3 linked regions of the Yarrowia lipolytica genome follow. The protein of the gene in region 2 purifies or fractionates together with the protein of the main gene of each other region. This does not show direct contact. Links are inferred from orthologs where the notes say so. Each region holds a gene or a part of one and is shown on either strand. Other genes may lie near its edges. The genes, in order: YALI1_F13373g, YALI1_F09230g and YALI1_E16493g.

Region 1 (3,013 bases), about 410 kb from region 2:
CCAGGTGGACGGCATCTGGCACACTTCAATCGTCATCGACAACAAGACCGAGTGGTACTACGGAGCCGGAATCCAGTCCGCTCAACCCGGAAAGACCCACCATGGCATTCCAGACAAGGTGGTGGATCTGGGAGAGACCCATGTGCCTGAGGAGCTGATTCAGGAGTACCTCAACGAGATTCGGGGCGAATACACCCCCGACAAGTACAACTTGTTTGACCACAACTGCAACCACTTCACACAGGAGCTGTCGCAGTTTCTGACCGGCAAAGACATCCCGGTCGACATTTCGTCGCTCAGCCAAAACGTGCTCGCCACTCCCTTTGGCCAGATGTTGAGACCCATGTTGGAACAGGGCATGAGCGGAATCACCCAGCGTCAATGATGGGTTTTATTTATTGCAACGAAGATGTAGACCGAATGAAGTACGGGTACACAACTACAGACTGAGCGGTATCTCGCTCGTGAAACAGACGCTGCGGTGTTCAGCTCTACTTAGAAAATTTTTAAACAATCTACAGCGTTGATTTTTGTTCAAGAGATAAATATACTAAACTAAATCAATACATTTAGGCCTTGAGGGTGAGGTGGCATCGGCCGCAGTACTGTCGGTCCTTCATGTCAGCCATGAAGACACCGGCACCGCAGGACTCAGACTCACACTCTCGTCGAAGTCGCTCAACCTTTCCGTCATCGTCAACCTTGTAGAGGTTGAGGACAGCAAGCTTGTTCTTCTTTCGCTTGTGCTTGATCTTCTTGGGGGTGGTGTAGACCTTCTTCTTTCGCTTCTTACCACCACCTCGAAGTCGCAGGACGAGATGGAGAGTGGACTCCTTCTGGATGTTGTAGTCAGAAAGGGTTCGGCCGTCCTCGAGCTGCTTACCGGCGAAGATAAGTCGCTGCTGGTCCGGGGGAATTCCCTCCTTGTCCTGGATCTTGGACTTGACGTTGTCGATGGTGTCGGAAGACTCCACCTCGAGGGTGATAGTCTTACCGGTAAGGGTCTTGACAAAAATCTGCATTTCGGTGTCGTCTGCAAAGAAAACTGTGCTGTTGTTAGTGGTTGCTCCTTGAGGTCCTGCTCTTCAGCTTTTGCATCGCTCCACTGCGTTCGCTGCGTTCGCCACCGTGTGGTGTGTCGTTATTACTCACCGTCTTTCTAGCCGAAGTGTCTGAAGAAGAAGAAAAGGAAGAGCTGCCGTGTAAATTTATTTCCATGCAAGTTGAGTGGGACTTCTCAAATAGGAAGTTACCCGGACCGCTATAATAAAACCTTATTTGATTTATGGTCACGTGGCGAAATGAGGTGGGGGGGGGGGAAACCGAAGAAAAAAAAACGTCGGTAATCTAGCTATAGCCGTAACTGACAATGCTCCATAGACCCCGTTTATCCGCCGTATCGTATATTTCCAGATTCCTTCCATTTTTTGCTGACTAATAACCCTAACCACCAGCATCTCCAACATGCAGTAAAATTTCACTGCAACATCACCATACACAAAGTCTCGAAAAATGACCGCCCAGAAGTTGCCCAAGCTCAAGTATCTGCGTGTCAAGAACCTGCAGACCGCCGAGGCCCCCCAGGCCGTGCAGCTTCTGTCTCGACTTTTGGCGTGCTGGTCATCCAACGGTGTCAACTCCGAGGCCTGCAAGGAGATTGAACAGGAGTTCAAGATGGCTGCCTGCAAGAGTGTGAGTATGAGAGGAGAAGGGTTGGAGATGATTGAGGCGACAGGGTCGGTTTAATTTCGTTTTGCAATTCTAACTCAGGTTAAACCCGTCAAGCAGCAGGACAGTATCAACTTCCACGCCAAGCGACTTTACCCCAAGATGGTTCCCCAGGGAAAGAACCGACGATAAGCGATGTCATCCATCGCCAGCATGTACATATTTATGAATTCTCTGTGATTTACGATACTGGGAGCGAGACGGAATTGGTAATGGTTGAAGATCGGAGGTGGGATGTGTAGGGAGAGGTGATGGAGGTGTAGGGTTTCCAATGGTCTGTTTGATATGTTGACGCCTCTGGGTATTGTAGTTCTGCAATTACTTGAGTTAACCAGAGTAACCAGAAGTTGTAGAAGAACTCTCTCGATTAGTACAATGTATCATAAAGGTCCATCTCATATCTCCAGACTGTAGACACTTTGCGACCACCCATTATGGCGATACTGTTGAGACGGTGCATGTAATTCGATTCGCTGTAGACTGTTGACGCTTCTTCGTATGCTTCTGTAGACCACTCTAGACCACTCTAATGCGCCGAAGTACCATCTGCTCAGTTCCAGCACGAGGTTCCAGTGTCCAGGTCCCTGTGATAAGTCAAAGGTTTTCAGTTGCACTACGATGCTGCAGGGCTACCAATGTATAGGAACTATAGAACCAGTCGATCCCTTCTCTACAGTATGGATATTCACACAGTTGTGTTCTACATCAGAAGCTGTACCGTAGGTGTAGCATAAGCAAGTATGACAAGGTACGGTACTGTACAGTGGATACGGCACCATCAATTGTCAGTTCTGTACTGTACTAGTACTCGTACAATACTGTACCATCAAGGGTCGGTACTTTACCATCAATTGTCAGACCATAGCGACGTGAATACGTCTAGCACCCAAGAGCACATCAACATCAACAATAGTATTGTATTGTACTCGTACTGCACTTTCCCTTCATCCCCTTCTGCCGCTCATTCCCTCTCCTGCTATTGATATCTCCTGCTATTGATATCTCCTGCTGTTGATATCTTCTGCTGTTGATATCTCCTGCTGCCCTCTCGCAGCTCACGCACAACGACGTCATCAGCGCTCGGAAAATTGTGCCCACATGGTCACCTGTGCGTTTGGGAGAACCGAGCAGGGGCCTGTACGAGCGGCTAAAGAGACATGCGCCTCTTACGTCATGGGCTGCACGTGATGTGGAGCAGCCGCTGGACACAAACCAACTTTCCCTTCGGTCAGCGCGTTGTCACGATACATGGACCCGTGCTGTACTGCCCTCAACTGATCCGGCC
Region 2 (2,969 bases):
GGCGGTATTCAGTGCAATTTCTGGAAAATTGAATAAAAAACAGAAAAAACACACAAAAAGAATAAATGTGATCCCAATTTTCAATACCTTCAACTGCTTAAACCCGTTATGCTCGCTAGAATGTCTCCACTGTGGAGATTGTAGATCTTGCTCACACAGGAGGATGATAGGCTTGAAGGCATGGAGGTTTATGAGATTAAAATGAATTAAATTAATGATATACAAGTACACATAATCTCGTAGCAGCAACATTCCTCATGTGCACAAGCAACGGCGGATCTAAGGCGATCTGTAGTCTCGTACAAGCGGTCCGTGTGTACTTGGACGGTGAATACCATAGATACAGTATGTACGTAACAGTGTCGCACCTCAAACCAATGTCTCATGTCTACTCATAGACAGACCGTAATTACTCGACAAACCCGAAAACATGTCTTACTCAACGCCGTTAAAATTTCTCGGCCAAATGGCGGGAACACCTCGTTAATCGACTAGACAAGGTCTCACCGCACATTTGTCTCGGAGCTACTTGCAGCACCACACAAGCACTGATGGAAGTTATGTGGACTTTAGGTGTTGGATTTCTCCGAGTTTTGTCCGAGACAAAGGTCAGAGACTGTTCTTTTTCGTCCCGCAGCGAACTCTTGTAGATCGACCCTGGCTGCTTCAGATACACTTTTTAACGCTCGTTTAGAGGGGCCAGTAGAATTCAATATTGGTAGACAAGGGGCGATACAAAAAGAAGTAATGGCTGCTAGTATTTCTTTTTGTCTGTTTATCCGGCTCTGTGCACTCCGAAAAAAGGGTCCCAGGCAACCAGCTGTTGCAATACACCATCGCCTGAAGTGCAGTGGTTGTATCTTCACATGTTTACACTATGTCTCATGCAACCACTTCCATATGGGGGTAGAACAACAGAGTAAAAGAGTAAAACACGCTGCGAGTGCGCCAACATGGGCCCATGTCTCAGTCTTGGGTGAGATATGTTCCTCCTGCACCTCTCTCGTGTGCAGGGTCAGCAGCAGCCTGTTTCATTTGCTGAGACTCGGTCTCAAGACGAATACGAAGTGCATAGGACGGCTTGAGGAATCAACAAAACTGCAAACAATGGGAGCAAATGGAGAAAGCGGAAGTTGGTATCATTCTCAGTGTATTTGGGCGGCTGCTTCCGTTTGTTGAAGCGACTGAGGGGCTATACACACTGTGCTGTACAAGTACCTGTACACACCGGTGCAGTATGTACTTGCACTTGGTGTAGCAGCTATGGGGTGTGTCAATTGGTAGCACGAAAAATAAATGAAAGTCACTTTACATTCCCTGTCTCTCTACGGGCTACCGGAATATGTATTTTAAACGGCTGACTGAGGTCTATCTGGAGCTCCCGATATAGTTCAATCGCCTTACAAAAGGCTTGAACTGTAGGTAAATGTTCGACTGTTGGGGTTGTTCAGAACACAGTTTTTGCACGGACATGATCAGGAAGTTTAAGAGCACGTGTGGACGCGGATCTAGGGTGGATTTTTGAATAAATATATTTTTATCGAGACAGTCACATTATTTCATGCCCGGAAATACGGTGAATCTGTGTAGTGTGTTCCAGATAATAATTTAATACTACGACACCACGAATCGAACCCACGACACCCAAAACTGCAGCCGTCCCAAATCGTCACCAGGTCACATGATACTTCCCAATCGGGAAAACAGTCACACATGCGTTCACCCAAATAATGAAACTTTTCGACGTTATAACTCTCCAACAAGACTGAACAGTTCAGAAATTGTGAGGAAGTCCATTTAAAAATGGTGAGTATGACAGAGGGAATCACGAGGCCATCTTGGTGAGGATGTCGAGCGATCCAAATGGAGAAACTATGGGATTTGTCTCATTTATTTGCAAGGAAAAATGAAGCAAATCATTGACATAATCTCTCGAGGTCGCTCAAAAAGCATCCAAATCGTTATCCGAACGAAGTCGAAACAAACGACAATCACTCGCTGCCATCATTCTAACCCAGTCTGATTCTGAAGTTATCGCTGAAGTTGAGGTTGCCGCCGCTGCTCCCTCCGGAGGACTTACCCTCGAGGATGCCCTCAAGACCGTCCTGAAGAAGGCTGTCATTAACGACGGTCTCGTCCGAGGTCTGCGAGAGTGCTCTAAGGCCCTTTCTCGACGAGAGGCCGAGCTCTGTGTCCTGTGTGACTCTGTCACCGACGAGTCTTACCTCAAGCTCGTTGAGGCTCTTTGCAACGAGCCCGAGGAGAAGATCCCCCTTGTCAAGGTCCCCGATGCCAAGCAGCTCGGTGAGTGGGCTGGTCTCTGCCAGCTCGACCGAGAGGGTAACGCCCGAAAGGTCGTCGGTGCTTCTTGTGTCGTCATCACCAACTGGGGTGAGGACTCCGAGGCTCGACAGTTCCTCCTCGACTCCATTGCTTCTCAGTAAATGCGTTGCAATCAAAAGCGTAAGCAATAAAATGCCACATGGCTTATTTAATATCTGAGAGATTGTAGACATGTAAGAGTAGCGAGTGATTGGAGATGTGTAATGGCAGTAAGAAAAGTTTTGCATGGCTGTATGTATCGCACATGTCATACAGTACCACAACCATGAGATCTGCTGTGGCACTGATGAATGACGGTCTCAGGATCGGGGAAGACATACATCAACACAGTTGTGTATCAAGGATGTTGTTAATTGCAATGTAGGACTTCTGCGGCACATCGTATTCGCCGAAGAACCTCCTGTACAAGTAGCTAGGGAGACACATACTCTGAAAGCCGTGCACATTCGGGACCCTCTCGGTCAGTGAGACTCGCTGATGACAGTTCAACCAGGGTCATGATCTATGGAACTCTTATCTGCTTCCTATATACTGTAGATGGCCATAGCCTTACACAGCCCTCTACCCGACGATATCTAGCTGTGATAGTGCTTCCTTCTGACACTTCTAACGAGACAAGTGGTGAT
Region 3 (3,538 bases), on a different chromosome or scaffold from region 2:
TCCAGAACCCACATCCAGAACCCACATGCCTCGTACAAGACGATAATCCCTCTGAACACTTGACGGGCCGTCGACGTGATTGTACATGTACATGAAAAATGCCCTCCAAACGTCACCGCTTATCTGCCCACGTCGATTGCACATTTAGTTTGCTAATTATGCTAAAAAGCCTTCAAAATGTCGTCGACAGCACAATACCAACTTCTTCAGCAGAGCCGTCAGAAGCCCCAAATGAAGGCGCTCAGAAGTCCCATCAGCTCAATTGGACGTTAAAAGACATTCTACATGTTTTCCTACCCTCCAAACCTCCCCCTGATCCCTATAAACACCTCCATGTCCTCTTTACACCCGCCAAACCTCACCAACTAAATCATCCTTAGAGTTGCACTAAGGCTGCAGTAATGAGTTGTTCATGCACACGTACAATTGTCTCCATGATCATGCTATCATTTATTAATTCTTACATGTGAATGCTCTTGCACTCTATGTACAATAAGTTAGTCTATTAAAAGTTGTCCTCAATGGCCTTTCGCTGGGCGTCGGTCAACGAGCTGGGGAAGTCCACCTTGATGGTGATGATCAACTGACCACGCTCACCAGGCTTCTTGGAAATGGGCATACCATAGTTGGGGTAGGTGATAATGTGGCCGGGGTTGATGGGCAGACGCTGCTCAATCTTGAGCTTCTTGCCCTCCAGGGTCTCAATGATCTTGGTGAATCCACACAGAGCCTCCTTGAGAGACAGCTTGATGGACATTTTGAGATCATCACCGTCTCGAGTAAACACGGGGTTGGGCTTCTGCTCAATGACAAACACCACATCCTGCTGGCCACCGTTGGGCTGAGAGTCTCCCTCGCCAGCAAAGGTGAGCTTGGTGCCTGCCTTCCAGCCGGGCTTGATGTTGACGGTCAGCACCTTCTCTTCGGGCTGGCCACTGGGGCCCTTTCGGGTGATCTTCATTTTCTTGGTGGCACCGGTGCACAGGTCCTCCAAAGACACGGGCATCTTGACTGTCACCTGTGTTCGCTCGGGCGATCGGGCCCTCTGGCGCGGCATGCCTCCCATACCGCCCATGCCGCCACCCATGCCTCCTGCACGGCGGCCAGCACGTCCGCCAAAGAGGTTGGCGAATCCTCCGTAGTCGTCTCCCTCATCGTCGAATCCGCCCTGCTGTCCGAATGAGTTGAAGATGTTGAAGGCGTCGCCAGACGAGAAACCACCGAAGCCACCCGGACCACCGCCACCAGAAGAGAAGTGGAAAGTCTGAGGGCCACCACCGCCTCCTCCACTAGAGAAGCCACCTCCGGGGAAACCTCCGGCGCCGCCGGGAAACCCGCCTCCGCCCGGAAACCCGCCTCCTTGGCCGGGTTCGGGCATGGGAACTCCTCCTTTTCGAGCAGCCTCTAGACCATACTGGTCGTAGAGCTCTCGCTTCTCCTTGTCTGACAGAATGTCGTACGCCTCGGAAATCTGCTTGAACTTCTCCTCATTTCCTCCGGGCTTGTCAGGATGGTACTTGAGAGCAGCCTTTCGGTACGCCTTTTTGATGTCCGCCTCGCTGGCGCCAGAAGACACCCCGAGGTCGTCGTAGAGCTTTGTTTCTTTCACCATAGTATCGCTTGTGAAAATGTATGGGTGTAGTAACCTATGTCGTGCGTTACAAGAGCCCGCAAAAAAAGTGCTGACCACCCGCCTTAAGTATTGCTCAGAGCCTATTCGCACTCGACTCTTCTGGAGCCTTCGAGATTGGTTGTGAACCTTCCAGCGTCTTCGCCGCGATAAGGTTGGCAATTGGGACCACGACAGAGCTAAATTCCAAGGCGGCAGTTTGGCTGTGAGTGTGATATATATATACTTAGCGCAATAGAATAGCTACAGAAAAAAGAGGGAAAAGTCACGTGACAGACAGGATGTCGGAGCGCGCGCACGTAGAGAGAAATTCTTACCAATTGAGCGTTCCCCTCGCCACCCATACCTCCTCCTCTCGGTGTTAAAGTGTACGTAGCGTAGCTACTGTACTTGCAGGCGTGTGTGTCAGGCAGGGCAATATTAATACATGAACCGCGCAAGGCCAAAAAAAAAAGACGAAAAAAATCCACGGAAAAACCCGCAAACTCAGCCAATGGATCGCTCTGGCCGCTAAACAGACCCAATTTTCCTCAATTGACGATCTCAAATGAGTACCTTCGAATTTCCATATTTTTTATCAGGGTTAGGGTAGTCCTGATTTGGCTGATTTCTGGGGGGGGGGGAAGAGAGAGGTCCACCTCACGTGACCATAGCTTAATCTCGCCGCTCCCAATATGCCGTTTAGTCCGTGATATCTCGAGCAGCACGAAACAGGTTGAATCCATGGGTTCGGAAACAAATCAAGCATCCGCGCAGCCTCAGCAGCCACCGGCGCAGCCCCAGGGCCAGGTCCAACCCCAGCAGCAGGCCGCGGCAGCCGAGTCGGACATGTCTGTGATTTTGTGCTCGTCGAGTTACGATAACACCATCAAGTTCTGGGAGGCATTGAGTGGAATCTGCTCGCGAACCATCCAGCATCCTGATTCGCAGGTCAACAGACTGGCAATCACGCCAGACAAGAGGTATCTGGCAGCAGCAGGAGGCAACACAGTGCGGCTGTACGACATTCGAAGTAACAACCCCAAGGCGGTCATGACCTTTGAGGGACACACAGGCAACGTGACGGCATTGGCATTCCAGTACGATGGCAAATGGATGGTCACTTCGTCGGAAGATGGAACAGTCAAGGTCTGGGATATGCGGACCGCCACAGTCCAGAGAAACTACAAGCATAGATGCCCCGTTAACGATGTGGTGATCCACCCCAACCAAGGAGAAATCATCTCGTGCGACCAGGAGGGAAACATTCGAATCTGGGACCTCGGCGAAAACACATGCACTCACCAACTGATCCCCGAAGAAGACGTGCCTGTACGATCAGTGTCTGTGGCGTCGGATGGATCAATGTTGGTGGCCGGAAATAACAAGGGCAACTGCTACGTGTGGAAAATGCACAACACCCGCGACGTGACTTCTCTGCATCCCATTACCAAATTCAGATCTCACTCAAAGTATATCACCAAGGTGCTGCTATCTCCAGACGTCAAGCACCTGGCCACCTGCTCCGCAGATAACACGGCCCGAATCTGGTCCATCAAAAATGGATTCTCGTTGGAAACTACTCTCACAGGACACCAGCGATGGGTGTGGGATTGCGCATTCAGTGCTGACTCGGCATACCTTGTCACCGCAAGCTCAGACCATTACGTGCGGCTGTGGGAATTGGCATCTGGGCAAATCATCAGACAATACAGTGGCCACCACAAGGGCGCACTTTCGGTCGCCCTCAATGATGTTTAGTCTACTAACCAGCTTATGTATTTTATTATATATCTATGTATATCTTTCATCTTCATGTGCTTTAATCACACAGTAACAGGAGGAGAAGACATGGGGCGGTACCAAAACTCCAGTTTGCCCTTGATCATTTCCACCTCAGGACTCACATCCAAAATATGGATGGACTGG

The links.
Region 1: the proteins of YALI1_F09230g (region 2) and YALI1_F13373g purify together in Saccharomyces cerevisiae (affinity purification with mass spectrometry; 3 studies listed by BioGRID). This does not show direct contact. The link is inferred for Yarrowia lipolytica from reciprocal best matches to the Saccharomyces cerevisiae genes RPS12 and RPS31.
Region 3: the proteins of YALI1_F09230g (region 2) and YALI1_E16493g purify together in Saccharomyces cerevisiae (affinity purification with mass spectrometry; 3 studies listed by BioGRID). This does not show direct contact. The link is inferred for Yarrowia lipolytica from reciprocal best matches to the Saccharomyces cerevisiae genes RPS12 and SIS1.

Annotation. Positions count from the first base shown.
Region 1 is NC_090775.1:1,335,363-1,338,375, reverse strand, and holds YALI1_F13373g (ubiquitin-40S ribosomal protein S31 fusion protein), read right to left. Parts: upstream 1,023-3,013; coding exon 570-1,022; downstream 1-569. Other genes in the region: YALI1_F13384g (uncharacterized protein), read left to right, coding at 1-385; YALI1_F13366g (mitochondrial 37S ribosomal protein mS37), read left to right, coding at 1,513-1,692, 1,771-1,860; YALI1_F13355g (uncharacterized protein), read left to right, coding at 2,469-2,645, 2,783-3,013.
Region 2 is NC_090775.1:921,280-924,248, forward strand, and holds YALI1_F09230g (40S ribosomal protein eS12), read left to right. Parts: upstream 1-1,803; coding exon 1,804-1,806; intron 1,807-2,018; coding exon 2,019-2,444; downstream 2,445-2,969. UniProt on the Saccharomyces cerevisiae protein: Component of the ribosome, a large ribonucleoprotein complex responsible for the synthesis of proteins in the cell.
Region 3 is NC_090774.1:1,647,733-1,651,270, forward strand, and holds YALI1_E16493g (uncharacterized protein), read right to left. Parts: upstream 1,613-3,538; coding exon 506-1,612; downstream 1-505. Other genes in the region: YALI1_E16501g (uncharacterized protein), read left to right, coding at 2,354-3,370; YALI1_E16531g (uncharacterized protein), read right to left, coding at 3,436-3,538. UniProt on the Saccharomyces cerevisiae protein: Required for nuclear migration during mitosis. It is required for the normal initiation of translation. Might mediate the dissociation of a specific protein complex of the translation machinery. Essential for viability.